Pelodiscus sinensis: one gene and its partners. The protein of the gene in region 1 interacts with the protein of each later gene in a pairwise test. Links are inferred from orthologs where the notes say so. Each region holds a gene or a part of one and is shown on either strand. Other genes may lie near its edges.

Region 1 (7,989 bases):
AACACATTCAAAAAGGCACAATGAAGATTTTCAAAAACACCTATGTGACAGCAGCCTTCAGGACTTTGGCATTTTTTAAAATGTTATCCTTTATGTCCACATGATGCAAAACTTCCCAAAATAACCTAAAATATGGTTCCTTCTACTTATCTCAAAATACCAGAGCCATATCTGAAATTCATTGCTGCTGTTGACTCGGTACATAATCAGTGTCTTCAGTCAATGCTTAACATGCATTAACTAATAATACCAGGATATGGATATAAATTAGAAATACAGACCTTAAATGGCTCTGATTATTTTACTAAATATATACAATTGTCAGATGCCGGGCAAAATACAGCTGTGGGCCAGCTCCATCTTACCAAGCTGTTAGATCCAGCCCACAGACAACATAGCGGGAGCTTCAGTGAGGATGCCTGCCCTACCCCCGCATGCCACTCAGAAAAGCCAGCAGCTGGGTCCTGTTTGTCTGGAGTTCGTGCGCTGCCCCAAACTCCAGCACAATATTGCAGCTCTCATTGGCCAGTTTCTGGACAAAAGGAGCTGCCTGCTTAAAGAACAGACAGTGGACAAAGTAAGCCTCCCTCCTTCTTTCGGGCTTGCAGCTGTTTACAGATGCACATGGCTCCACAGCCAGCTACTCTGAGCTTCCTGACAGGGCATTGAAGGCAGGGAACCTGATGAGCTGCTGGCTGGGAGTTGCCCAGGTAAATGTCTTGCAGACACAGCCTGCCTCTGGCATCCCAGCCCCTCCTTCCCTCTGCCCCCGCCCCACATAACCCAAACCTTCCCTGTCTCCTGCACCTATACCCCCTCTCAAACCTTGTACCCTAATCCCCTGCCCCAGGTCACAACCCAAACCCCTGGATCCCCTCCTACACTCCAATCTCCTGCCCTGGGTCACAAACCCCTCCTTTACCCATACTACCTCCCAGATCCCACACCTCCTTCTGCACCTCAGTCCCTTACCCCAAGCTCCCTTCTATACCCAATCTCCATCCCAGACCCCACCCCAATACTATGGAAGGGCGCACCCCTTGACTCCTTTCCAAATTCTTGGAGTGCCCCCATCAAAAATTATTGCCCACCCCGATCAAGCTAGAAGTAGTAGTTTGATAGCACCATGGAAACTGAGACAAATAAAAGCGTAGCACTGAATGGATGGAAATGAAGCTGCAGTTTACGCTTGAGGCTTCCCAGAATGCTAAGAACAGAGAATACCTTGCAAAATAAGCTCCCTGTGAACAAAGGAGAAAAGTCCAAGGAGAAAAGTTATACTCTCAGGTAGAAGTCAATAGTGTTACATTGTGTATATACATCAGTCTCACTGACAGCAGTTTGGGCCAGTTTTAAAAGTCTTACAGGAAGCAAGGAGAAGGTTCAAAACAACTGAGCAGTAACAACTCTAGAATTGATCCATCATCACCTGTTAGTTATTTTAGCAGCACTAAAGTAGGGATCAACTAGGATAAGCAGGTTAACTCCCGTGAGAGTCAAACGGGGTTAATGTGCTTATGAGAGGGTAAAGTCTGGCCCAAAGTCTCTGGGAGCCAAGTGAGAGTATTGCTGGCACCATGCAAGGGGGCATCCAGAGCAGGTTCGCCTAGGTGCAAACTGCTGGCCTGCCTTCTCAAAACACTTTCTGCCCACAGGTCACCAGGGACCCAGGCTTTTTTCTTTCACAGCGCCGGGTTAAGTTCCGCCTCCTCTCCCTTAGCTTTTCAATACAGCCACAAATCGATCCGCCAGCCTTTCCTGCCAAGTGATTAGCAAGCGGTGGCTAAATGGAGCTGTGCGCAGTTGCCTTACATCCAAGCTGAGCGCAGAGCACAGAACGGATCCATTATCCTATTAGCCCTTCGAGTAATCCTCGGCGGCTCCCCCCCCGGCCTGCACAACCCTCCAGGCAGGGGAGCGGGAGCAGCTGGGGGGATTGTCCCCTTGGAGTCAGTGAGCGCTACTGGCGGGGCTGCACTCCTCGAGGTCTCTTTTCCGCTGCAGCCGTCGAGCCCCGTGCTGGGGAGGGGGCAGGTGTCTGGCTGCGGCACGCTGCCAGTAAAGCCCCCTAGGGCCCGGGAGGAGGGGGACGGGCTCTTCTGTCCCAGAACTTCTCTGTGGGCTCCGGGCCGCCACAGCCGTGCCCGGGGGAGAGTCAACTGCGATAAGCCCGAAGTGACAGGCTCGGATGTCGGTCACTGCTACCAGGAGCAGATGGGGAGAGTAGCGGCTCCTGCCTCTACACCGGCCCTGAGAGGACCAGCCCCGCTCCCCACCGCCCCAAGCTCTGCTCTCCTCGGGGCCCCCGGAATCCGCGTGCCCCCGACCCCTCTCAGACCCCTCCCTTTGCCCCCCCGGGGAGAAGCCGCGCAGGGAATTGCCCCGCGCCCACAGCACGCGTGTCCGCGCCGCGCTCCCACTCCGCGGGGGCCAGGTGAGCCCCGCCCAGCCAGGCGCCCTCCCTGGAGCAGGACCCCTCAGGTCTGAGAGAAGCCCCGCACATACCCCTCCCCCCCCCGCGCTGTCACTGCCCCCGGGGCAGGAGAAGGCGCCAGCCGCGCCGCGGGGACTTACGCGGAGTTGCAAAGCGCCCCGGGCTGCCTGCGGTTCGGAGGGACGGTCGGACGGTGCTGGGCTGCCTGGAGCGCGGCGCCGGCCCCTCTCCTGCGGGCTGGCTCCGGTCCTGACTCGCCGCTCCCGCGGCCCCGCTCCTGCTGGGCTGGGCTCCCCACGCCTTGGGTGCTCGAGGCAGGAACTCGCCGCTCCTCGCTTGGCCTCCCTGCCCCGCCGACTGCGAGCGCGCGAGAGAAGAGGGAGAGAGGCAGGCAGAGCGCGAGCGAGCACTGTGCACTCGTGTGCGCTGCGGCTGGGGAAGCGGATTAAAAGCAGGTCACCAGAGGGGCAGGCTCGCCCACCGCGGCGGGAGGAAGGCAGGGGAACGGGAGAGGGACTAGGATTGGCGTTGCTCCGTTACTGCTCAGGAAAGGTAGCTGCAGGGTAGCCTCTGCAACGCCACGTGGCCTAGGCACTGGGGCTCTGGGCCCCAAATAGGAAGCTTTGTTCCGAAAAAGAAGCGTTACATACAAACCCTCTTCTGGTGGGGACCGTGTCTCCCAAATTCCCTTACTTGGAGATGCCCTATCAGTTCAGGGCTGGATTACCTAATAGGCAGACTAAGCACCTGCTTAGGGCACCAGCAAAGCAGGGGCACCGAAAAAAAAAGAGATTTTATTGTATAGTATTGTTTTTATTTTGAATTACATGGGGGGGGGGCACCATAATCTTTTCAGTGCTTAGGGCCTCTAAAGGTCTTAATCCAGCCCTGAGGATCATAAATGGGGTGCTGGCTCAGGAGAGCTAGTAAGTGTCTGCCAGCCTCTGAGCCAAGTTACTTATTTAAAAAATCAAATGGACTATCTTCCTGCTTGCAATGTGCACAGGTAAGAGCTCAGAGGACTAACCTGAATTCACTCACCTTTAGGGACCAGGAAGCCATAAACAACTTTCAGGAACTTCATACACAAACAATTAGGCTACGTCTACACTGGCATGATTTTCTGGAAATGCTTTTAACAGAAGTGTTTTCCGTTAAAAGCATTTTCAGAAAAGAGCATCTAGATTGGCACGGATGCTTTTCCGCAAAAGCACTTTTTGCAGAAAAGCGTCCATGCCAATCTAGATGCGCTTTTGCGCAAAAAAGCCCCGATTGCCATTTTAGTCATCGGGGCTTTTTGGCGCAGAACAGTACTGTGCTGTCTACACTGGCCCTCTTGCACAAATGATTTGTGCAAGAGGGCTTTTGCCCGAACGGGAGCAGCACAGTATTTCCGCAAGAACACTGATGATCTTTGTCATGGCTCCTTCCCCACTCTGGCATGATAAATGCAGAAGTGGGGGCCAGCAAGTGTACCCCAAAGCCTTATCTACCAGGCTTTGGTATAAAAATTCCCCCAAGATCTTAAAAACCTAGATCTTGGGAATAAAACTTCCGCTGCCACCACCCAAATGTTGATAAAGAAATCAGGGGAAAGATCATTTGGGAAATCTTACCCCTAAAATAAAAATCAAGGCACACAATTAACCACTGCCAGGTTAATAAAAAGAAAAGAAAGAACTTTTATTATTACAACAATATTCCTGTTGCAACCATAATGACTAGATAGGGAGGTAACAAAATATACTCATGGAGAAACTCCATGGGCCTAGAACTTAGTTACAAAGAAAAGCCAAAACATCTTTTAAACCGTGCCAGATCTCAGATCCCATACCCAATCCTTAAAACAATAAAACCTAACGAAACTGCCTAAACTTTACCCTACTTACAGAAAATGAAGAATGGTGTCTTGGAGAGAGAGAGAGAGACATGCTTGTCCCTCTCTGTAGCTGCAGAGAACCCTCTCAGAGAGACAAAAGGAGCTAAGAAAAAAACCAAAATTCCTGTGTCCCAGTTTGAAAAGTCCCACCTACATTCTTATTGGTCACTCCACCTGGCTAGGTGTAGTTAACCCCTTAATCCCCAGGCTGCTGGCTAACCCTCATAATCATGACAATCTTACATGAGATCGTCAGTGTTCTTGCGGAAATTCAAGTGACCAGTGCAGACAGCTGGCAAGTTTTTCCACAAAAGCAGATGATTTTGCAGAAAAACTTGCCAGTCTAGACACAGCCTTATTGTACTTTTTGGTACTATAGGCCTGATCCAAAGCCCACCTGGAAGGCAAAATGTGTCTCTTTAGTTAACTGGGCTTTGAATTCAATCTTGTGTGAATCTCTTGATGGCCCAGAATTGGGCTGAAAACATTATGAGAAAAAGATGCCTGATACTTTTAATTTCCAGCTAGACTGAAAATACCACACAACTGTTTTTCCCCCATGGAATTTCTTCACTTCTAGGTCTGCTAATTGCTGGAATTACATCAAAGCTTTCACTTTAGGGGCAGGCTTTTCCCACTTTTAGCCTCATTGCATGTGTTAAATGAGAGTGCTCTACATTGAATTAAAATATATTGGACTCATTCTAGAATCATGCATACTTTTTCTGAACCTTAGAATAAGACCATTACATTTGAGGGTTTTGGTCTTCCTTCTGCACATAATTTTGGCTCCTATTGCACATAAGTGCAAAAATCCAGTTCAGGTTCTGTTTCCATTGAAACGAGCTAAGGAAGTCCACTGTCTGGCAAAAGTGTATATTGCATCATCTAACACCTTCCACCTGTAACAATAAAAGGCATTGTGCAGTAAGTCCCAGACTGGATAATTGCACCCACCTGGATTCTCTCTGGGTGAAGTAAACTAATTCTTTCAATTTCTTCCTTTGTTTTCATCACACAGCCATAGTGGGATTTAACGATAGCAATGTCACTGAAGACAAACAACTTTGATCATCAACACAAAATAATGGATGGGTATAGATAGAACAAACAGTTCTCTCTAGATGCTGGATTAGCGAAAGAAGCCAGCATTCTGGAGTTAAATGGCCAAGACTTCTGTGAAAAATCTACTTTTGTGGAATGGAAATTCTCCAAGCCAACAATAAAGAGGAATACTTCACAACAGGCTTAGGCCCAGTCTCTGAAGTGCTTCGTCTTAGAATCAAGGCCTACTGTGCTAAGCACTGTACAAACACAGTAAGTGACATTCCTTGCCCCCAAATAACTTAGAATGTTTGACACCTTTGGCCTTAAAGGTTTCTCCATTTGAGTGTCACCAAATCTCTCTGGATGGAGAGTGAGGTTGGAGCAGCCTGGTGAGAAGGGAAGAATGCAGCAGATTGAATTTCTGACTGAAGAGAAAACTGAGACATAGCAGGTCAGAATTATTCTTCCCCAAGCAGAAAATTATTTGTTTGTTGAAAGAGAGAAAACTGAGGTTTGTAGTTTTTCAAAAAGGGAGAGAGAAATTTTCTGCAAAAACTAGCCACTTTCCATTAAAAAATGTTATATTGTCAAAACGCAATTTTCCACTGTAAGGCAGTTTTAACTAACACTTTCCCTCCAGTTACAGGAGTTCCTGATACTTCCCCAAAAACATGCTAGAGCTGAATTGGCTGAAACTGAGCACACACACTGAACCAAATTCTAATCTTGTGTGATGTGATTTGCATTAGGATTTGGAGAGGTTAAACTCAGTTGTATACAAGATTATGCATCTGTTCAAATATGGTTGAATTAGGGCCTGAAGGAACTCTGATTAAAAAGAAAAACATCTCAGTTCTGGAAAGTTAAGGAATATGTATGGTTTTATTATTACTATAACTTGTATCAAAGTAGCATCTAGAGGGTCTAAGTACAGGACTTCACTGTATAAACATAGTAAGACATTCCTGCTCCAAAGAGTCTACAATGTTTGGCATCTTAATATTAATAGGACAATGACAAGTGACTTTGTAGACTGATTCAGAGCTAGTGAGGTGGGCCTCCCAAAGAACTTACCCATGTGTACCAAACTGTCTCATCTTGCTCTATCTCATCTGAAAACCCAGTGTAGATGCTGTTGACAAAGAGGCTCAGTGCTGCCCAAAAGATGGCAGACCTGCCCTTCTGAAAGTGAAGAATCAACTGGACAGCGGACATCTAGGCTACGTCTACACTGGCATGATTTTGTGCAAGAACTCTTTTGCGGAAGAGTTTTTGTACAAAAACTGTTCCAGAAGAGAGCGTCAACACTGGCATGTGGCTTTGCGCAAGAGATGTGCTTTTGCGCAAGAACATCCTTGCCAGTGTAGACGCTCTCTTGTGCAAGAAAGCTCTGATGGCCATTTTAACCATAGGGCTTGCTTGCGCAAGTAATTCATGTTGACTGTCTACACTGGCCTCTTGCGCAAGAACAGTTGCGCAAGAGGGCTTATTCCTGAGTGGCAGCATCATAGTTCTTGCGCAAGAAGCACTGATTTCATACATTAGAATGTCAGTGTTCTTGCACAAGAACAGTGTAGACAAGCAGCAAGTTCTGACGCAAAAGCGGGTGCTTTTGCGCAAGATCACACCAATGTAGACACAGCCCTAGATTATCTTCTTGAATGATGCAGATGGGGACACGAAGACAAAGAGGTTAAGTCTGGGTAACGTGAGACAAAAATACAGGTATCTACACTGAAAGTCAGTCTTTGGTTATTAATAGTCTAGTCTAGACATACAACAAATCTAAATTTAACTAAAACGAGATCTTGCTTATAGGCTAAAGAATCCTGCTATCTCTGACTGCGTTTAAAATCTTTCCCCTTATGTCTTGTTTGTCGCTATCAGTTTTAGATTGGTTTAAAAAACACACAGAGAAAGAATGGGTAGCAGGTACGGGAGTCAAACTATTATTTTCAAGTATCCTCTTCATAGCCTGAAACAGTGTCTCTGAAAGTGAGGGAAGAGAGGTGAAGACCACTGCCTTTACAAAAGAAAAGAGCAAGGATCAAAAGAACAAATTATATAGATTTTTTTTATTGTTGATGCAAAATGATTACATGTAAATTATCTCCAATATTTACACCAGCTGGTGCTCTCAGCATTTTTTAAAGGGATGGATTTTCCTAATCAGGAAAATCAGGATTGGGAATCTTGAGTGTGCCTAAAAACAGAAGCTTTCTTGTTATTTTCTTTTAAAAGGTGTTAAGCACCCTAAGTTTGGATTTCCGTTGGAGTTGTAGGTGCTCAGTATATGTAGGGAAGGATTTCCAAAGGCACCTGTAAGAAGAGTTAGACACCTGACTCTATTACTTTCAGTGAGAATTGGGTATCTGATCTCATTAGACCCTTGAAAATTCTAGCCCTAAAACCTGAGTATGAAATATGGAAGCAATACCTTGTGCAATTTGCCCCCAGTAAGTGTTTCATTGTCATTGGTCACATCACTTAGGAGATGAATGCTGTGAATTTTGAAAACTAAACAAGGATACACATGCCAGTTAACAGGTCAGCTTGGTTTGAACTTACTTTGTTTCAGATGTACTGTAAATATCAATTTATTTCTCGCAACCTGCCAGCTCTCAGATGC
Region 2 (7,731 bases), on another chromosome or scaffold:
AATATTAGAAATTGTTGGAAAATATTGGAAAAATACAGCAATTGTGGACGCAAAATAGACAAAGGACGGCTATATTCTTAGATATCTGGCTACCTTTTATTCAGTACTCAAAGCACATTCATCTGCAAAACAAAACAACAACCAAAAAACTGGACACGTGTGCAAAATGTTTTGAATATTAATATTAGATAGTCATACCTGATACTTTAAATGCATATATACAGAGATTTCACTCAGTTTAACAAAGTCACTAAAAATGACATTGGTGTTATAATGGTGCTTTTTTGGTAATATGGTTGGTAACACCTTATTAAATAAAAAGACTGGATGACTATATACCTGTGTAGTGTCTCTTGAAGCAAAAGCTAACTGCCGTGATGATTATTTTGTTTCTGATATTTACACAACAAGGATTTGTAAACTTGTTAAAACTTCCTAAATAAATAATTAAAAAATAAAAATAAACTGCTGCTCTGGTCTTTCTGATGGTATTAATGCATAACATTTCTATAATGTTTTTATGGCTAGGTCCTCAGCTGATGTAAACCAGGAGAGCTTTACCTAAGTCAGTGCGAGTATACCATCTTACACCATCTCAGACGTCGACCTTTAATCTTCAGCACACCACATTACTGCCCAATTAATCTTCACCAGGAGACCAGTGTGTATTGTTACACGCAAGTGATTATCATCATTTTTGTTTCACAGAGAGGGAAATGGTTCTGCTTAAATGCCATGGTGGGGTGGGGAGGAGAACAGAAGTATTAGAGCTAGGGGTTAAAATGATGTACAGTCCATGCTCAGAAGTAAAGTGGCTTCTATCCATTTCCCCAAACCTTGACACATCTTGTAATTTTTCCATCTCACGGTATTACAACCTTCCCAAAGATTTTTTTTAATGTGCAAAATTATATATTAAAAATTATACATGTATTTAAAAAATATATAGCTATACAGTATGATACTATCATATATAATTTTGCACATTAAAAAAAATCTTTGGAAAGGTTGTAATACTTAACTAAGTTCACATTTGTAGGGTTAACATTAACATGATATTTTTGCCAGACTTAAAATCCACCCCTCTGCCAAAGGCTACCCAAGGCCTATGCCCCTGTTAAAGCCTATTGCAAGCAAGTGACTGCTCTGGTTACTACCATCTGTATATTATCCTGAGTAGCCCTACAGTTGGAATTACTTACCATAGTAAATCCTATGCCACTATGATAATAAGTAGTAAGCCAGAGTTCAGTTTCAGAAATTGTTCAGGCCCAATTGAAATTTTACTCCCTTATGCTGGGTGCTGCACAAGTGTGTAGCAGAGGAGGCAGACTCTGCCTTGAAGAGCTTACAGCCTAAATAAACCAGACTGCCACACGGAAAGATAAAGTGACTTGCCCTAAATCCTTTAGCAAATGCATGGCAGAGCTGCACATTTAATCCCTTTTCCCTGAGATCCCAACCAGTGTCTTACCTGCGAGACCATGAAGTAGTAAATGCTACATGTTTTCTAGTTCATGTTTGCAAAAATGAGCTGTGGTGAAAGCCTGGCCCTATGGAAGCCACATCCAAAACTCCCATTAATTGCACTGGAGTCAGCATTTTGCCCTCTGGTTCTTTAGGATTGAATGTGGCATTCTCCTATTGTTGTAGATCGCTACACAACTTTAACATGTTATTAAAGAGAGAGAAAAAAAGTGTTGATTTAGAAAACCAGCAGGGAAGAGGCCAAGGCTGTGACAGTAGCCTTGAAAGATTTTTCCAGTGCAAACAGAGGCAGTTCCCTTGGGGGAAGTGGAGACTGGATATGTCCGTATCGACTCTTTGATCCTCTTGCAAGACAAAATGTGATAGGCGAACCATTCTGATAAACACTACAACTTCTCTATTAGTACCATGCTATGTTTCTTCGGTGGTCTCCCTCTGACAGTTGCTGAGCTACAAAGAAACACCAAACAGAGATAGGAGACAGAGGTTAAAAAGAAAACAAAACAAAACACACAACCCACCAAACCATTCCCTGGGGAATATAAACCAGGAGCCACAAACAAGTTTAAGAAGAGTTTTTATCATTGTCATGAATTTGTGTCTTGTTCTTGGTGTGTATTTTTAACGGTATGATAATACCATATTAACCACCTTGCAAACATTAAATTAGCAGCTTGAAAAACAGATTATCAGATGCCCTTTAATTTTTCCCCCTTCCAAGCAGCTAACCAGAAGACGAAATAAGCCAAAGATCATGAAATCAACTGGAAAAAAAACTCTCCAAAACTCTTTGTCTATTGCATTTTAAAGCCAAAGAGTAAAACCTGAGTCCACCCCTTTTGCCTCCAAATTCCTCCAGAACCCTTGGCTTTTAGCACCGCCAAGGAACTGTTTCAACATGAATGAATGGGATCAGCGCCCATGCTCCTGAAAGGCTGTAGGGGGTGTTGAATTAAATATAAAAGGCACAGAGGGAAACATTTGGTTGGCAAGCAGTGTTTCCCTGCAGGCAATGGGCATATCCTATGTGGGTATTTATGACTATTCTGCAGGGGGAATGGAGCTGAGAATTAAGCAGCTAACTGAACGTTCCTAGTGATGAGCATACAAATACAAACCCTTTCCTACCAGGTTTAACACAATTAATAGACATACAGAACTGATGGCTATATTACGATTATGAAAATTATGTCTGCAGTTATAATGCTGGTAGGTAGTTTTCCCTGTGTAAAAATTGCATGATAATGGTCACCTGTCTCGGATTACTATCTTTTTTTTCCCAGATAGATTCCCCGGAAATGTGCAAGGGAGGCTGTCTACCTTGGACCAACATTGCCATGGGGGTCTTTACAGTTCAGAAGTTTTGTCTACAATGTGCTTTATTCAGAAAGTAGTGACTCAGTACTCTGGCCCTTTCTATGATCGTAGCACTTCTTTCTGGTCTTAAAATATATGAAAATTTCTCTCCTGGAACTGACAGTCATAAAGAGAGATAATAGAGGAGAAAAATTAATAATCATCACACTTTCCCTATAAAAATTGAAGATAAATTCTTTCCCACCCAATCCCAAATTGTAATTTTATTTGCTTCTTCTAGGCAGCAGAGTATTTGAAAATTGCAAAAGTTTAGAGACAGGCTGTGACGTTTCATATGCTTAATTGTTCCCAGGACTGTACCTTTGCCTTGTGGTGGGATTAGCATTTGTGCCCTCTTCTTTTATTTTAATATACAGAAAACAAAACAATTAGGGGTATAATATGCCTGAGAAGGAAAACAAAAGGGAGAAAGTTTAACAAATACAAATAGGGAACTACAGGATCTGTTAGGAGTGCCTCAATTAGGCCTTGGTCCTACAACTGAATCTGCTAGTATAGATCCATGCAGGATTGGGGTTTTTATTTTACTTGTTGCATTTTTTAATGTATGAGGATAGTCATAGAAAACCAGATGCATTTGAAAAGACGATGGAATCCGAAAAGATTGCATCCCTTCTTCCTTTAGGAGGTCTTATTTTGGAAGTGTGGGGAAAGGGCATTTGAAATACTGATATTTTCAAAGAAAAAAAATAAAACTATAGAGACTGTATCCCTTATACATTTACTTTAGGAGCTCCCTGATTTTAAGGAACACAACCAAATAGCTTACGAAAATGCAAAAAAAAAAAAAAAAAAAAGTTTGGAATTTCCCAGTTCTAGGTAGAATTTTGTACTTAGTTAAGTCTATTGCAAAACTCCTTGTCATCTCATGGGAACAGACTCTTTAATATTAATGGTCCAGTCCTGCAAACAGATTACATATATCTGTAACATTTTCAGGATCAGGCTCTGTGGAGGTGCATCCAAGTTGTAGTTAGGGCCCAAGCCCACACGTGCTTACTAAACACATTGCTATGGGGATTATGCACTGGAATAAACACTGGACAGGATCACTGAACCCCTATTTTGCCATTGATAAGGACTGTAAGCCTATGGAGTTGCAGGCGCAATGCCAGTCACAGGATCAGGACCATAGAGTTCTGTGTACCTTATACTTTTAGGAGCACCCCAATTCCATTTGCGTTTTGGAGGTGTCTGTAAAAAACCTAGATGGGTTTGGAGTGCTTGCTGTAAGTTTAAGAAAAATCTCCCCCCTCCAAAAGCAGAGCCTTAAAAGAAAAATAAAAAAGGTACAATTACATTCTGCCCCCTGATTTTATCTGGGTGACATAAAATTCAGGGGGGAAAGCTAACTATAAAGAAAGGGCGGTTTTTCTTAATAGAAAAGCGAGGGGGGGAAATCTCATTTTTGTGTGTGTATGTCTGTGTGAGAGTGTAAAACCTTCTTGAAAAACACCAAGGAAAAGACAGAGTTAAATCTGTCCCCTCGATGCACTTCACTGAATTTGGACCGAGTTTAAATTATTTTTTTTCTTGGTTCTTCCTTTCTTGCCCTAAGCCTAAAGAAAAAAAAACCCTACTCCCTTCTGAAGTATTTAAAAGTAGGAAAGGAAGGGGAAAAAAGAAGGCCCCCCTTCTCTTATCTTTCGCATGAACTAGTAAAGCAACCAAAAAAAAAATATATATATATATATGGTGTTACTAGTATGGAACTAGTTAACCTTTAACAATTTATGCTGATGTCACACTGAGCATGAGTACTGATTAATCCCAGCCTTTTCTGTCCCCCCCCCTCGTAAAAATATTTTTATTGAGGGAGGAGGGGAGAAGTATAAGAAAAAAGAAATAATTTAGAGCAGCCATCTTTGTTTTATGCAGAAATCTTTCTCTTTCAGTTCCCCCCCCCCAGTGCCAGGAATATACAAATATTGTTCATCTATGCAATGAGCTGAGAGACTCAAACAAGCAACAATAAGGAGAAAAATTAAGATAAGGGGGAGGGAATCTTTTTTGTTGTGACTGTTTTGGATTGATTTTTGAGGGGGGTTTTGGGGGATTTTTTTCTGTGAACCTCAAGGAAGAGGTGTGTATGCCGTGGGGAGGGGGGGTGACTTAAAATCAAGCCAGCCATTTTGTTTTTTTTTTAATAAAGAAAAGGGTGGGGGATTTTTCCCCCCTTTTTCCCTCCTGGGGGGGGTCTGTTTTAAAAATAATTTAAGGGCGGCCATTTTTGTTCCTTGCTCTTGTGGCAAATATTATGCTGGGCTGCCCCCTCAGAATTTAAATATATTTTAAACCTCTTTCTCTTTCCTACCCCCCATTTTTATATTTTAAAGGGGGGGAGGGGAAAAAGTTAAAAAGGAGTTTTTCCCTCTTTTTGAATCCATGGGACTTTTTCAGGCTGTTCTTTTTTGACTGAGGTGATCTGAAAGGGGGGGGAAGAGGAATTTTGTGTGTGGTGAAGGGGGGTTGTTCCCCCCTTCTCTCTCTCTCTCTGTTTCCCTGCCCCCCCCCAGCACCACCATGGCTTCCCCTCTGAGGGAGGACGAGGAAGAGGAGGAGGAGATGGTGGTGTCTGAGGTGGAGGGGGATGAAGAAGAAGAGGAGGAAGAGGAGGAGGAAGAAGGAGCAGGGGACAACAGCCCAGGCGACATATTCCCGCCTGCTGCTGCTCCACTGGCACCAGCACCAGCAGCATCCACCCCACTAGCAGCTGAGGCGCCTCCAGGTAAACAACCCTCCCCCCTTCACCCCAGAGCCGGGCGCCAAAACACCCCCCACTCTCCCTTCAACGGCTTTCGAATGTTGGCGGGGGGGAATTGTTTGTAAACAAGCAACGGTTGCGGAACGTTGAGGGGCCGAGAGTTCCGACTTCCCTCCCCCCACAGTCCCAGCCGCCGCGCGCGCTGCCCAACGGCTGCGGAACGTTGAGGGGCCGAGAGTTCGCACCCTGCCCCTCGCCCGCTGCCCAACAGCAGTGGAACGTTGAGGGGCCGAGAGTTCACCCCCGCCCTCCGTCCTCCCCCCCGCAAGCGCGCGCGCTGCCCAGAGGGGAGAGTTTCCAGCCCCCCCTGTTTCCCCTCTTTGGATCATTGACGGGCCGAGAGTTCCGACACCCCCTTTCCCCCCCCGCTCGCGCTGCCCAACGGCTTTGATAACGCTGAGGGGCCGAGAGTTCATCCTCCCCTCCCCCTTGCGCGTTGCCCAAAGGCTTTGGAACGTTAAGGTGGGGTACGAGAGTTTCTAATCCCCCTCCCCGCGCGCGCTGCCCAGTGGCTTTGGAACATTGACGGGGGGGGATTCTAGTTTCCACCCGCCGCCGCCGCCCGCGTTTCGAACGTTCAGGATGGGGGAAGGGTGCAGGCAATTGGTCTTGAAGTGTCCTCCCCAGAAGTGGGGCCCGATGCCCCTCCCTCACTTCCAATGAAGAAGGGGACCTACCCTTCCCCCCCCCGAAAGTGGGGAGGCAGCACAGAGCCCCCCCCTTAAAGTGCCCCTCTGCCTGTGAGTTGGTTCATGCCCCTCCTGGGGTAAAGGGGAGCAGAGGAGGGTTCCCCAGCCCCAGAGATGAGGGCAGCTCTATCAGTGGAGGTGGATGGGCCACCACATGGCACTCTCCCCATCCCCAGCCCCCACAGGGGTAAGCAGGGCTGATCTGGACAGGGTTTCTGGGATGGTGGGTGCTTGGTGCAAGGGTGTGTGATCTTGGCAACTGGTGGGCAGAATGGGGCATGCTGGGCGTTGGCAGGAGTGTTTGGTGCCCTGGTGGACAGGCTGTGATGTATTGGAGGTTAGCAGGAGTGTGGGGTGGTTGCCTGATAGGCAATATTGGGCCTTCAGGACATTGGCAGGAGAGGGGGTACTTGGTGCCCACTGGGCAGGACAGGGCCTGCTAGTGGGAGTGGGGGATGCTGGGTTCTGGTAGGAGTGGGGGGGGGGGTTGGCCATCTGGTATCTGGTGGGCAGGATGGGGCCCTGTGCTTAGTTGGCAGATATGGAGGACACCTGGCAGGCAGGACAGGCCACATGGGTCATTGGTGGGGAGGGAACCTCGAGGAACCAGCCACCTGGGAGAGGGCTTGATGCCCTGTGTGATCAGTTGGGGAGGGGGCTTGGGAACCTGTAGGGTTTGGCCTGCTGGTATTGAGGTGATAGGTGGCTTTTGGCCCTCTGATTAGTGGTACTTTCTTGGGGATGGGACCCCGGGGGAGTAGATAGCAAATAGGGCTCCACACCCTACTTGACTTGTGCCTTACAGGATGGGCCCCCTTAGCAGTGGTGCAGTGAAGAGGGATGGGCTCTCTGCAGGGGGAGGGCATGTCAGTAGTGCAGATGACTCTGCTGTCCACAGGACGTGGCCATGTTGGTTACCTAGACCTGGGCATGGCTGTGTCTTGTGGGGTGGGGGTCAGTAACTAGCTTATGTGGAGAAGAGTTGGCACCCCTCTGAATAGAGTTGCATCACCTGAGATGGGATGGGGCCCGTTACTCTCAGCAGAAATGGTTGGGTCAGGACTACATTGTCATAGCGGGAGCAGAGGGTGATATGAGGATAGGGGTAGTCAGTTGTGGTGGGAGTGGAATGGGTCAGGGCCATGTTGGCTGTGGCAAGAGCGGAGGGTGATTTGAGGACAGGATTAATTGAAAGCAAGGAGTGGCTGGGTCAGGGCCAGGTTGTGGCGGGAGCGGAGGGTGACTTGAGACCACGGTTAATCGGAAGCAGGGGAATGGGTGAGTCAGGGCTAGGGTTCCCTGTAAGCTATGCGCTTGGACAGCCACCCAGAGAGATTCAAATACTGCCCAGCTGATTAGCAGAGTGCCCACAGCCAGCAGCATGTGTTTCCACTGGTGATGTACTTTAACAAA
Region 3 (7,201 bases), on another chromosome or scaffold:
TGTCTCCATGGGAACCCTGGTGACCATCCTTCAATCCCTCCTCGCCATAGGTATCATACTGCTTTCTCTTCTCCTCGTCTGAGAGCACCTGAGAGGGCAGAGGATGTGGGACAAGCACTAGTGAGTCAGGTTATTTAAACAAGCCTTTGAGAGGAACCCGGCCTTTACCCCAAATGAGGAATAAGAGGCAGTGGAGAGATCCAGATCACTTTTACTATGGCGGTGCTGGTCACCACTCCATAATCAGCACCAAGTCCAAGGTTGTCAGTTTAACAAGAATCTTTATTTTGCAGAAATTGGCTCTTTGGAAGTCTCTTGTCACCATATCACATGCATCTCATCGAAACAGCAAACCACCCAGACGCGCTATCATTCAACGCTGTTTCAATTACTCTTGGTGGGCTAATGGAAAAAGGATTAGCAGCGGAGTAAGAGCTCAAAAACACAGTCCTTTCGGCAGTCTGTCACACAAGTGTGTCGCTCTTCTTTGTGAATCACACGGCTACTCCCCCTAGGGATGTAGAAATCCCGTTACCCAGTAAGCAGCACCTGCTCCTTGCCCCAATCTCAGTAATACAGAAAGAGCATTTGTCCAGAGAGCCTTTTATAACCTTTCACCCTGCCTCCATCATCTCAAGTTTGAGCACCAAAGAGAAGCCACCAAAGAGGATGATCAACCTGCCATGGTGCAAACATTGGCGCTCACTTCTGGGAAAGAGAGCGAGCTGGAGAGCAGGGGTCTTGGCCATATGAAGGCAGAATAACGTCCCAAACGCAGGCAAGGTGTCACAATTAGATGTACTGATCTGCTGAGCCAAAAGTATGAGAGATGGCTGTTGAAGTTCTGCACCAGTGAGAGCGCACTGCTTAAATGGGGGCTGTTTGTGATTTCCCATCCCTGATCTAGTCTGACCTTCGTTGCACAGGTCATGGAATTTCAGCCAGTTATGAAGCCCAAATCAAGCCTATATCTTGTGGCTGAAGTGGAGCAGTCAATCAAGTTTTGGTGCTTTGAAAGAATAAGCTTTTGTTTTCCAGAGAAGAAAATGTGCTACGACAGAGGTGGCTACATCTTGAGCATCCACAGTAATCAAACTGCCTTTGGCCCCAACTACTGCAATAGCTAGCGCAAATCCAAACTAGGCATCTTCAAACTCCATTAAAAGGAAGCATTCCACACCCTCCCTTGCATGTTGCAGGGGAAACTTAACTCCAAAAATGAGATAATTGGGATCTACAAGCTGGCCCGGGGCCTCTACTAGAAACCTTAAATAGAGTGACAGCAATCAGGTTAACACAGGGCAGGCTCTTCACAATTTTTCGCTATCACTCCTCTGCCATTTCCAGTCAATAAACCTGTCTGACTTTTCACTTTTGTTGCAGCAATTCATTACCAACACTGAAATGTAATCATTGCTGACTCTCCCTGATTAACAACAGCTCCAAGGCCATCACTAGAAAACCGGTTGCACCCTCCTGCAAATGAGGAGATGGAGGAAGAGACTCCACCCAGACAGGAAAACCATGTTTGTTAGTACTCAGAGCAGATACTCTATTAACTCACTGACCTCATAGGCAGCTCCCAGATCCTGGAACTTTTCTTGCGCTCGCGGATCGTCAGGGTTGCGGTCCGGATGAAGCTGCAAAGCCAGTTTCCGATAGGCCTTTTTAATGTCTTTTACTGATGCACTGCGGGACACCCCCAGAATCTTATAGAAATCCCTCCTGAGAAATAGAGAGCAAAGTAAACATCTAGTCATGGCCTCTGCCACAAATGCACCACTTCTAACGAGACAACCACAGAACACCACCACTGCTACTGCAACTGAACAGCTCAGTAGGGTGAAGGCACCCTCCTGGAACACCTACGAGTTTCAATCAGTGCCATGACAACTATTTTAGTGGAGAAGTTGAAGCACAGACGTATTCAGTGACTGGCCCAAAACAGTGTGGAGGGTGTCCGTGTGTGTGTGGGTATGTCTACACTTGCACCCTCTTTTTGCTGGGGGCCGGGTGGGGGAGGGGCTGGGGGAGCGGTTGGGGCGGGGCGCTGCTGGGGGCCGGGTGGGGGAGGGGCTGGGGGAGCGGTTGGGGCGGGGCGCTGCTGGGGGCCGGGTGGGGGAGGGGCTGGGCGCGGCTGGGGGCCTGTGGGGGCCCGGTGGGGGAGGGGCGGGGCGCTGCTGGGGGCCCGGTGGGGGAAGGGCTGGGGGCCCGGTGGGGGAGGGGCGGGGCGCTGCTGGGGGCCCGGTGGGGGAAGGGCTGGGGGCCCGGTGGGGGCGGGGCGCTGCTGGGGGCCCGGTGGGGGCGGGGCGCTGCTGGGGGCCCGGTGGGGGAGGGACGGGGCGCTGCTGGGGGCCCGGTGGGGGAGGGACGGGGCGCTGCTGGGGGCCCGGTGGGGGCGGGACGGAGCGCTGCTCGGGGCCCGGTGGGGGCGGGACGGAGCGCTGCTCGGGGCCCGGTGGGGGCGGGGCGCTGCTGGGGGCCCGGTGGGGGCGGGGCGCTGCTGGGGGCCCGGTGGGGGCGGGGCGCTGCTCAGGGCCCGGTGGGGGAGGGGCGGGGCGCTGCTGGGGGCCCGGTGGGGGAGGGGCGGGGCGCTGCTGGGGGCCCGGTGGGGGAGGGGCGCTGCTCGGGGCCCGGTGGGGGAGGGGCGGGGCGCTGCTGGGGGCCTGCGGGGGCCCGGTGGGGGAGGGGCGCTGCTCGGGGCCCGGTGGGGGAGGGGCGCTGCTGGGGGCCCGGTGGGGGCGGGGCGCTGCTCGGGGCCCGGTGGGGGAGGGGCGCTGCTCGGGGCCCGGTGGGGGAGGGGCGGGCCGGGGGACGGCCCCGCCCGCGCTCACTCACCCGGCGCTGGCCTCGCCCAGCAGGTAGAGCAGCAGCAGGCAGAGGCGGCCGAGGGAGCGGGGGGCCATGGCCTGCGCGCGGGGGGTCTCGGGCCGGCTCCCGGAGCCCGGCGCGCCGGTAACCATAGATATGAAACGGAGCCCGGCGAAGAGAGCGGGCCAATGGGCGCGCGGCACAGCGCGCGGCCCCGGTCACACCTCGCCAATCACAGCCGCACACTTCACCAACCGCCCGGCCGGGCGGGCCAATCACAGCCCACTACATCAGCACTGCGCCTCCTGACCAATCGCTGCTATCTGCGTCACCGATACCTGGGGCCAATCACAACCCCAGGAAGGACATCCTCTCCCAGGGATCCCTCACCCGGAGAGTGCCCGGCTGAGGGCTAGCCAATCCCCGGCCGCGCGCGCCCCTCCCGGCCAATCACAGCGGGGGCGGAGGAGCGCTGTACCACTGCGACAGTGGCCTGCTCACGCAGAACAACAGTCGCGTGCTGACCCCTGTCGCTGTGGTGAGGGAGCGGCGGGGCGGGGCAGGTCTAGCTAACGTCTCGCTGGTCGCAGCCGCAGTGCGCACGTGCGGTTGCTAGGCGCTGCTGAGGGGAGAGCTGGGATTCAAACGCGGCGAGGCGCGGGGCCGGTGAGCGGGGCCTTCGCCTAGAGCTGGGGCCGCGGGGCTCTCGCCTGGGGGCGGGGCGCTGCCTCAGTGCAGGGGGAGGGGCTCTCGCCTGGGGGCGGGGCGCTGCCTCAGTGCAGGGGGAGGGGCTCTCGCCTGGGGGCGGGGCGCTGCCTCAGTGCAGGGGGAGGGGCTCTCGCCTGGGGGGCGGGGCGCTGCCTCAGTGCAGGGGGAGGGGCTGTCGCCTGGGGGCGGGGCGCTGCCTCAGTGCAGGGGGAGGGGCTCTCGCCTGGGGGGCGGGGCGCTGCCTCAGTGCAGGGGGAGGGGCTCTCGCCTGGGGGGCGGGGCGCTGCCTCAGTGCAGGGGGAGGGGCTCTCGCCTGGGGGGCGGGGCGCTGCCTCAGTGCAGGGGGAGGGGCTCTCGCCTGGGGGGGCGGGGCGCTGCCTCAGTGCAGGGGGAGGGGCTCTCGCCTGGGGGGGGCGGGCGCTGCCTCAGTGCAGGGGGAGGGGCTCTCGCCTGGGGGCGGGGCGCTGCCTCAGTGCAGGGGGAGGGGCTCTCGCCTGGGGGGGCGGGGCGCTGCCTCAGTGCAGGGGGAGGGGCTCTCGCCTGGGGGGCGGGGCGCTGCCTCAGTGCAGGGGGAGGGGTTCTTGCTGGGGGGGGCGGGGCGCTGCCTCAGTGCAGGGGGAGGGGTTCTTGCTGGGGGGGCGGGGCGCTGCCTCAGTGCAGGGGGAGGGGCTCTCGCCTGGGGGGCGGGGCGCTTCCTCAGTGCAGAGGGAGGGGTTCTTGCTGGGGGGGCGGGGCGCTGCCTCAGTGCAGGGGGAGGGGTTCTTGCTGGGGGGGCGGGGCGCTGCCTCAGTGCGGGGGGAGGGGTTCTTGCTGGGGGGGCGGGGCGCGTGGCCCGCTTGGGCGCCGTGTGCTGAGTGTGTGCGCTCCGCAGGTTGCCATGGCGCGCGTTGCCATGGAGCCGGCCGCGGTGCAGCTCTGGGTGAGGACGGAGCCCTTCCTGGTGGGGGCACTGCAGCTCCTGCCCCCGGCCAAGCTGGGCCCGCACTACCTCCGCAAGATGGCCGCTTACGCCCGGGCGCGGGCTGCCGAGGGTTGCTACCCGCGCCTCACCTGGCCCATGTGGCGCCACATCGCCTGCGGAAAGCTGCAGCTGGCCAGGGACTTGGCTTGGCTCTACTTCGAGGTCTTCGACAGCCTGGCGGAGCGGACGGCGGAGCAGCGCCTGGAGCGGGCCGAGGTGCTGTCTGGCTGTGCCTCCGACGAGGAGCTGGAGCAGCAGCGGAGCAAGGCACGAGAGACAACCCTGTGATCCTTCTCGGGGCTCACACTTGTGGGCCACGGCACAGGGCCGTAGGGTTAGCACCTTCGGCCGCCTACGCCTAGCCATTGGGTCCGAAACGTTGCACAGCCCCATCCCAGCAGCTTTTTCTCACGCTCCCCGGGGCAGCGATCGTTTTGCTGTCTGTGTATGCAGGTCACGCTACCATTCACGTGGTTAGCTTTCTGCTTGACTGGGGTTAATACCAGCCCTGCCCTTCAGAGCTGCAATGCTACCTTGCCTTTTCAAGTGGAGATCAAATGCTGTTCAGCAGAATTGCGTACGGTTGGTATAACCAACTAGGACATCTTTCTAGAGTAAAACATTTGACATACTCCCTTTCTCCCAGGATCTTGTTTAAATCTTCTGTGATGAGTTTGGTCACAGAAATCCACTTGAGCCTGTCACTTGATGTGCTGAAATACCACTGAGCCTGCCCCGTCTTACTGTGCCAGGCCGTCTGGTCTCTGTGGCAGTGGCACAGAGTTAGGGTTACAGTTCTCAACAGAGCCACACAGACACTTAGCTCACCTCTGGGAGGGGACAGAGCACCAAGGTGCACAGCCCCATTGGGACTAGAAACCCACGTAAATCAGTATTGCTTTGTATAAAGTTTTATACAGAGTAAGCTCTTAAATTTTTAACCCCCTTTATCAATGAAAGAGAAAGATGCACAGCTATTATGCTCTCTCCCCCCAGCAGGGATGTTTAATGTGTACAGTTAACATGCACAGTAACATGCAGCCCCCCTTTATCCCTTCCCCCCGGGGAGATGGCTTAAAAGCCAGCTCCCATGAGCACTGGCTCCCATAGAGCTGTCGGCTCCCTCATACTGCTGCTGCCTGTCCCCCTTGCATGTAAATGTGTAACCGTTGAAAATTTCAATGATTACATGTTTACAAAAATAAACATTTTAACATCCCTACCCCTCAGTAACAATGATTTACACCAGGGAATTAATAAATGATTTTATTAAGTATAAAAAGGAAGATTTAAGTGGTTGCAAGTAATAGCAGACAGATCAAACTAAGTTACAAAGCAACATAAAACACACCAGCTAAGTGTGGTTCTAATACTCAAAGAAACTGGTTACTTGCAGTTCTGACCCTAACAGTAGTTCTAATCATCTTTCCTCACAAGATGGGTAGCTTCAACTTGAGTTTGAGCCTTCTTAATGTCCAGTTCTAAGTGGTTGCAGCAGACCTCTGAGATGCTAAACAGGGGTGTCAAGTCTTGTGGCTGTCTCTGTTGTTTGGTTTCCTACCTATATCTCGATATTTTCAAGGCAGGAATCCCTTGTGTTCAGATCAGCCCTTTTCATTTTCTATGAAAAAGTACAGCATCCAAAATGGGTTCCTGTATCAGATGACCTGACCACTTGTCTTGGCTGGGTCAACCATGTCCCAGCAAACAGGAAAACCCAGATTATTTAGAGATCAATGCCCTGAGTACCAGGTCATTAAGTTCCTTGTGTACTTCAAATGACCTTCGCCTAGCATGTCTAGATTAGCGAACAGGTATACATGTCATATGTTAACTTCAAATACAGGAATGATACATGCACACAAATAGAATAAACACAGCTTGCAGATTACAAGCTTTCCAATGATACCTTGCAAGAATTATTTTGTAAAAAGCATATTCTATATTTCCATAAAGAATATGAAATACAGTCATACCCTTAAAAGCAGAGAAATCCCAAGTCTGATTTGTTCCTAATACACTATTGTTTTTTCACACAACATGGGCAGGTGAGCACAAAGGAGACTCCCGTAAAGGTGACCTGCAGACAAATTAAATTAGCCTAGCCCTTTTTTCCTCCTGTATGATGTGTAAAATAGACGTGAACATCTACATTTTTTTCTTTTTCACTTTATCAGGATTGTCAACTATTTCCCCCCTGGCTTTTCTGGCTGACTTGTAGGGAGAAGGGGGGAAAGAGAGGTCTCAAAATTTGTTTCTCCACAAAGGGTGGGGCCACTCAGCAAAATCATTCTTTAACATGTTAGTTAGTTTGTCTTACCAGAAAGGACTTTTAAACAGTCTGATTAAAAATCCACTCCTCTTTTTCTTGCCTCTTGCAATGTCATTTTCTAGTCATTCTAAGATTAGGCAGGATCTGAATTTGTAATGGGCCATGGGGGAAAGCAGAGGAAGGCTTTTGTCTTCCTTTGAACACAGTTTGGACTGCATTTTTTTGTAGAGAAATGACCCACCTCCACCCAAAAGGACAAGTCCAATATTTGCTCTTTGCATGTCATTGTTAAAGAACTTTTTCTATGCTTTTTGACAAACTAAACACTTTCAGTATTTGTTGATTGTGGCCCTCATGGAAGGGTCTAGAGCAGCGGTTCCCAAACTTTTCCAGATGGGGACCTGTTTTGACAATTCAGGAAGATTTGGTGACCCACGGCAATTCAAAAA
Region 4 (6,955 bases), about 200 Mb from region 1:
CATTTTATTTTGATTACAAATATTTGCAAAATGAGCCCTGTACACTTTGAATTCTGTTCTAATTGAAGTCTGACAATGTAGAAATATCCAAAAATATGGAGCAGCTGGTTCTGGAACCCTCAAAAGGAGAGGTTCTTGATTTAGTCCTAAGTGGAGCACGGGATCTGGTCCAAGTAGTAAATATAACGGGTCCGTTTGAAAATAGTGACAATGTAATAAAATTTTACTTCCCTGTGGAGGGAAAAACAACACAGCAGCCCAACACCGAGGCATTTAATTTCAGAAAGGAAAACTACACAAAAATGAGGAGGTTAAATAGAAACTAAAAGGTACACCGCCAAAAGTAAAATCCCTGCAATCTGCACGGAAACTTTTCAAAGACCCTAAAATAGAGACCTAACTTAAATGTATACCCCAAAAAATAAAAACACAGTAAGAAAAAAAAAGTACCACTGTGGCTTAACCAAGTAAAAGAAGCAGCAAGAGATAAAGAGGCATTGTTTAAAAAGTAGAAGTTAAATCCTAGTGAGAAAGATAGTAAGGAGCATAGACTCTGTCAAATTAAGTGTAAAAATATTATAAGAAAAGCCAAAAAAGTATGAAGAACAGCTAGCCAAAAAAACTCAAAGTAACAACCAAATATTTTTTAAGAAAATCAGGAAGCCTGCTAAAGAACCAGTCGGGCCGCTGGATGATTGAAATGCTAAAGGAGCACTCAAAGTTGATAAGGTCATTACGGAGGAAACTAAACTAATTCTTGGCTTTGGTCTTCACAGCTGAGGATGTTAGAGAGATTTCCAAACCTGAACCATTCTTTCTGGTGACAAATCTGAGGAATTGTCCCAGACTGAGATGTCATTAGAGGTGGTTTTGGAATAAACTGATAAACTTAAGTCAGTGAGACCAGATGGAATTCACCCAACAGTTTGTAACCTATCCTTAAATCATCTTCTGTACCTAATGACTAGACGATAACTAATTTGATGCCAATATTTAAAAAGGGCTCTAGAGGCGATCCTGGCAATCTCAGACGAGTAAATTTAATGTCAGAACTGGGCAAATCAGTTCAAACTATAGGAAAGAATAGAATTGTCAGACACGTAGATGAACGTAATTTGTTGGGGGGAAAAGTCAACATTATTTTTGTAAAGGGAAATCATGCCTTACTAATTGACTAGAGTTCTTTGAGGGGATCAACAAGAATGTGGACAAGGGGGATCCAGTGGATATGGTGTACTTATTTCCAGAAAGCCTTTGACATGGTCCCTCACAAAAGGCTTGTAAGTAAAGTAAGTTGTCATGGGATGAGAGAGCAGGTCCTCATGGACTGATAACTAGTTAAAAGACAGGAAACAAAGGGTAGGAATAAATGGTCAGTTTTCAGAATGGACAGAGATAACTAGTGGTGTCCCCCATATGTTAGTACTGGGACCAATCCTATTTAACCTATTTATAAATCATCTGGAGAAAGGAGTAAACAGGTGGCTAAATTTGCAGAGGACACAAAACTGCTCAAGATAATTAAAAGTAAAGTAGATGGTTCAGCAACAAAATGGCAAATGAAATTTAATATTGATGAATGCAAAGTAACACACACTGGAAAAATAAACTAAACATACAAAATGATGGGGACAAATTTAGCTATAAGCACTCGAGAGAGATCTTGGGAGTCATTATGGATAGTTCTCTGAAAACATCCACTCAACATGCAGCGTCAGTCAAAAAAAAAAAAAAAAAAACCCAGAACATAAGGAATCATTAAAAAAAGGGACTGAGAATATTTTTATTGCCTCTGTATAAATCAGCGTACACCCATATAAGTCAGCGTACACCCATATCTTGAATACTGTGTGCAGATGCGGTCGCCTTATCTAAAAAAAGATGTATTGGCAAACATTGGAAAGAGTTCAGAAAGGGGCAATAAAAATTATAAGTAGTATGGAAAACCTGTCAAATGACTGTTTTTGTTCACTCTCCCTGGAGCATTTGGCATTGGAAACTCTGAGAAGTCAGGATACTGGGCTAGATGGACCTTTGATCTGACCCAGTATAGCCATGCTTATATATGCCCTCATTAATAGTATAACTGATTCTGATTTGTTTTTTTTAATTGCTTGACAGCCCTATTTATCACAAAAGCCACTAAACCTGCCACTCTACATTGGCCTTTTTGACTCTGAGGTCACTAGTGGACAAGGAGTGCAAGGTAGTTAGGGCAGGTAGGAAGGCATGGAGGGGAGCACTCCCAAACGTTTGTTACAGACTAGCAGCCACACACAGCTTTACCCCATGACTCCGCCTCCACCTACCTCTCCGTCTCCTCTCAGGATCAGGGCTCAAAGGACAAGCAGACTCTGCAAATGGAGGGACGTGGAGGAGTTAGCGCCTTGCCTTCCCGTCAAGCGGGCTTCACACAGAGCCGGCCCAAGCCATTCTTGCAACCTCAGCTCCAGGCGCGCGGCGCATGCGCGGCCCGCCTCGGGCGCGCGCGGCTCATTCTTGCAAACTCAGGCCCAGGCGCGCGGCGCATGCGCGGCCCCGCCCGGCCGCACCGCGTGGCGCCCCATAGAATCGGGCGCCCGGGCCTATCGCCCAGTCAGCCCCTAGCTTGGGCCGGCTCTCGCTTCAGACAGAGCAGCCCCTCAACAGAGGGCGCCAGGCGCCCGGCACGGCCGCCCCTAGCCCCGGGCACACGCATAAAGCTTTCAAGGGGAGAGGGGATCCAGGGCGGCGGCACCGCGCCAAGCCAAACGGGACGTCCCACGCCCGCCTGCCGCCGCAACAGCACCAGGGAGCCGGGCACGGCTGGGCGAATCTGCGGGGAGCTCCCTGCCCCGTAGCCACTGCAAAGGCCCCGCCGCAACCCTGCTACCAACCTCACCTGCCCGCCGCGCACCAGCCTCCGTCGTTTCAAAGGGCTCCTTCCGGTCACTGGGTCCGGGTCCATGTCGTCACATCCGCTGTAGCTCCAATCGCTAGCCAGTGGCTAAGGAAAACGCGCGAAGTCACCTCTCGCGGGTTTAGGACAGATAACTTACAATACGCATGCGCTTGGGAGGTGAGTCGCTGGATCAATTCATGGCTATGATTGGGCGCGAGCCAATGAGAAGGTTTGCAGGTGGGAACGCCCCTATGGTGGCATCGCCGTGCCTATTGGCCAATGGTAACTAAGACGGGCCGTGATTGGCCGGTGTAGTGTCAGGGGCTGGTAGCTGTAGGAATTAGCTGCGTGCGCTAGTTACTTACGCAGTGTCTGTGGGAGGGGAGATAAAAACGCGCCTCTGGACTGCGGGCGGGAAGGAAGCGCCATTTTGTGTGGGGCTAGGAGGGGGACTAGTACTGGGAGCTCGCTCGCAGGGGAGAGCCTTGGCGGTCAGGGCCGGCTCTTTGTTTTTTTCCACCCCAAGCAAAAAACTGTTTGGCCGACCCCTCTTTTTTCTTGGCTTTTCCACGTTTGCACTTTGCAATTTTTTGACTGTTTAAAATTTTTTTTAAATGAAAACAGAAAATTTGTAGTTAGTGAAATAAAACAATTTCTTGCTAGTGTACTCATTTAATTTTAACATTATTGCAATTACCCAAACCAAACTGATAGACTGCAGAGGGAGGTCCCAAAGCCATGCTTACAGAAAATGGGCTAATAAGGAGAAGGCCTGTGGCACCTTTTAGACTAACAGATTTATTAGAGTACAAGTTTTTGTGGCTAAAAGACCCACTTTTGCCCATGAATGTGTAAGCAGGGGCTGAACTGCTGCTTGCTGTCAGCCAGCTGAAAGGAGGGGTGGGTGTGCCCACTACAGTTGTTTAGCTCTACAAGGTAATTAACTGTTAACTGTTGACATGTAAATACTGCTCAGGAGAGAATCCAAGGTGTGGCTATGTAAATTCCATTCAGCCAGGGCTGATGGAGGGTCAGTGTTGGAATGGAATGTGGAGAATTGTATATAATTTGGGACTGTTGTGGGGGTCACTAATCATGCTACCCCTAAATGTGGGAACTGTAAAACATGCCACCAGTGCTTGCAGGAGAGACACCACCATCATGGTAAGAGGTCTCGGAAGAACAAGCCTCCCCCCTTCCAGAGTTGAGTGGACAGAGCTGGGGGAAAGGGTTAAAGGACTTGTGTCAGCCTGCTTCACACCTACCAGGTGTGAGCTATAAGACTGGCCCAGCCTGCACCTTTCCCCCTTTGTTTTAAGGACAGACCTAAAGCAGACTCCCTGAGGAGTCTTTTTGTTTGCTAGTCCAGTGAAAGCTGGATTCATTTGAGAGCTGAAATCACTGGTTTGGCTGAGAGTTGAAATCACTAAGCTGAAATCACTGGTTTGGCTGAGAGCCAGACCTACTGCAACCAGTAGAGTGGCAGCAGGCGAGGAGCGGCGACTAGCGGCGTGGCGTGGCGCGGCGGCAGGCGAAGAGCAGCCATCAGTGGCGTGGCGCGGCGGCAGGCGAGGAGCGGCCATTAGCGGCGTGGCATGGAGCGGCGGCAGGCGAGGAGCGGCGACCAGTGGCGTGGCGTGGAGCGGCAGCAGGCGAGAAGTGGCGACAGGTGCCCAGCGGAGCGTCCAGAGGTGTGGGACGAGACAGCTGGTGAAGCGTAGCGGAGTTTTCGTATAAGGTGCCCCCTATCTATCTCCCCACCCCCATTTCTACCCAGGTTGGGAGGTGAAACCCTGCGGGTGAACTTTGGGGCTCTGGGTGGCACAGAGACTTGTGGGGACAGAGACTTTTGGGGAGTCGGTGGACTTCGGGCGAATCTTGGCCGGGGTGGGGGCTCATGTTTGGGTTATGAACTCTGTTTGTGGTGTTTTCCCCAAGCTAATGCCGTATGAATTCTTCCTCTGTTTCATTAAATGTTCTTTTCCTACACTCAGACTCAGTGCTTGCGAGTGGGGAAGCATTGCCTCTCAGAGGCGCCCAGGGGTGCGTGAATTTCCCAGATCACTGGGTGGGGGCTCGAGCCGGTTCTTTGTGAGATTGACCCCAAGATATTGAACCCAGCCCTGGTTCCTGCCAGGCCTACCCGGCAGAAGGGCTACAAATGCTTGTGCTCTAATAAATCTGTTAGTTTATAAGGTGCCAGAGGATTTCTGGTTGTTTATGCAGATTCAGATGAACAGGGCTACCCTTCTCATTCTAAGGGTACGTCTAGACTACATGCCTCTGGTGGTGGGATGTAATAGTATAGTCCAGTGGTTTCCAGTCTTTTAAAGGATGAGATCACTTTTTGAATTGAAGTGCAATCCAGGATCTACCTCAAACCCAAATACTTTTGTCCCGCCTCCTTCATTCCCCTTCTCCAAGGCCCTGCTCCAGCTCCCTCCCTCCCCCATTATTCCTCCCTTTTATCAGGCAGGGGCAGAGAGTTGGGGTGCAGGCATTGATCATATGGATTTGGAGTGTGAAAAGGACTCTGAGCTGAGGCAGGGGATGGGGTGTAGGAGAGGGTACGTGACTGGGAGAGGGATTCAGGATGTAGGCTCCAGCTGGAAACTGCTTACCACAGGTGGCTCCTGTGTGGTGTTGCAATGGGGCTAAAGGCAGGCTCACCCCTGCCTGGCCCCGCACCATTCTCAAAAGCAGCCAGAAAATTCTGTCCATCCCAAACCCTTCTGTGCCCTCCACATCCATTCGCTGGAGATAGAATACACAGGGTGGGAAAAGAAAAAAGCTCGAAGGCAAAGAGCAGGAGGTGCTCAGCAGTGGGGGGAGGGGCAGCTGAAGTGCTGCACTTGACAGCCTCATGGCCAAACAAGTCGAGATCACCTGTCAGAGGCTCCAAGGTTGGTGACCACTGGTATAGTCAATTAACCGATAAGCAAAAGCTTATCGGTTAATGCTATAGACTACATGCATTTCCCTCTCCCTGCTAGTAAATTTTTTAACAGGCTGGCCAGCAGCCTGGCTCAGTCCTGGCTTGCCATGGGTCTAGGACCTATCCCCATTTCAGCTCTGCATTTCAAGTGTATTAAGAGCTAGATCGGGAGGCAGCTCAGTTCTGGCTCACACCGGTCCAGAAGCTGAGACCCATGCTGCTGCCTCTTTCTCAGAAGCAGCAGCACAGGGCAACAGGCAGCCGGTCTGTGAGGGGATCTGTTTTTTAAACTGGCTCCCTTTGCAGACCAGCTCCCACCTGGCACCCAGCACTGCTGGCCCTGCCCCAGGGGACTATAAAATAGTCAACTAACCGATAAAATTTCAGGAGGTTACTCTACTATTCAATTAACAGATTTTTAACATCCCTATATTGTGGATAATGGTAGAAATGTAGCCGTGTTAGTCTGGTGTAGCTGAAACAAAATACAGGTCTATGTAGCACTTTAAAGACTAACAAGATGGTTTATTAGATGATGAGCTTATTAGATGATGGTTTATTAGATGATGAGTGGGTCTGGCCCACGAAAGCTCATCATCTAATAAACCATCTTGTTAGTCTTAAAGTGCTACATAGACCTGTATATTGTGGATAGTTATCTGACAATATCTACTCAACGTGCAGCAGCAGTCAAAAATCTAACAATGTTGGAAATCATTAGGAAAGGGATAAATAATAAGACAGAAGATAACTCATCACCTCTATATAAATCCATGGAATGCCTACACTTGAATACTGTTATGGAAATGTGGTCATTCTGACTTAGTAAAAAAGGAAATACTGGAAGTGGAAAAGGTACAGAAAAGGGCAACAAAAATGATTAGGGTTTGCAACAGCTTCTCTATGAGGAGAGATTAATAAGACTGGGAGTTTTTAGTTTAGAAAAGATGATTAAGGGGATATGATAAAGATGTATTGAATCACAGCTGGTATGGAGAAAGTAAATAAGGAAATGTTATTTACTCCTTCCCATAACACAAGCACACAAGCAGTTATTTCGACATCTTATCTTATTATACTTTCAAAAGGATTTTCCTGCGGGACAACAGAGTGAAGTCATCCCGCATGCCCGGCTCCCC

Evidence for each region. The genes of interacting proteins can lie anywhere in the genome.
Region 2: the proteins of PTN (region 1) and CHD3 interact in a two-hybrid assay, tested with the Homo sapiens proteins (2 studies listed by BioGRID and IntAct). The link is inferred for Pelodiscus sinensis from reciprocal best matches to the Homo sapiens genes PTN and CHD3.
Region 3: the proteins of PTN (region 1) and DNAJB11 interact in a two-hybrid assay, tested with the Homo sapiens proteins (2 studies listed by BioGRID and IntAct). The link is inferred for Pelodiscus sinensis from reciprocal best matches to the Homo sapiens genes PTN and DNAJB11.
Region 4: the proteins of PTN (region 1) and TAF1D interact in a two-hybrid assay, tested with the Homo sapiens proteins (2 studies listed by BioGRID and IntAct). The link is inferred for Pelodiscus sinensis from reciprocal best matches to the Homo sapiens genes PTN and TAF1D.

Annotation. Positions count from the first base shown.
Region 1 is NC_134711.1:103,329,422-103,337,410, reverse strand, and holds the start of PTN (pleiotrophin), read right to left. Parts: upstream 3,015-7,989; 5' UTR 2,575-3,014; intron 1-2,574.
Region 2 is NC_134734.1:10,543,065-10,550,795, forward strand, and holds the start of CHD3 (chromodomain-helicase-DNA-binding protein 3), read left to right. Parts: upstream 1-4,716; 5' UTR 4,717-5,388; coding exon 5,389-5,593; intron 5,594-6,224; exon of another isoform or gene 6,225-6,432; coding exon of another isoform or gene 6,433-6,505; intron 6,506-6,511; exon of another isoform or gene 6,512-7,731.
Region 3 is NC_134720.1:2,943,418-2,950,618, reverse strand, and holds the start of DNAJB11 (dnaJ homolog subfamily B member 11), read right to left. Parts: upstream 3,016-7,201; 5' UTR 2,964-3,015; coding exon 2,839-2,963; intron 1,726-2,838; coding exon 1,569-1,725; intron 89-1,568; coding exon 1-88. Other genes in the region: TBCCD1 (TBCC domain-containing protein 1), read left to right, coding at 4,397-4,747. UniProt on the Homo sapiens protein: As a co-chaperone for HSPA5 it is required for proper folding, trafficking or degradation of proteins.
Region 4 is NC_134711.1:305,249,298-305,256,252, forward strand, and holds the start of TAF1D (TATA box-binding protein-associated factor RNA polymerase I subunit D), read right to left. Parts: upstream 3,016-6,955; 5' UTR 2,882-3,015; intron 2,355-2,881; 5' UTR 2,310-2,354; intron 1-2,309. UniProt on the Homo sapiens protein: Component of the transcription factor SL1/TIF-IB complex, which is involved in the assembly of the PIC (preinitiation complex) during RNA polymerase I-dependent transcription.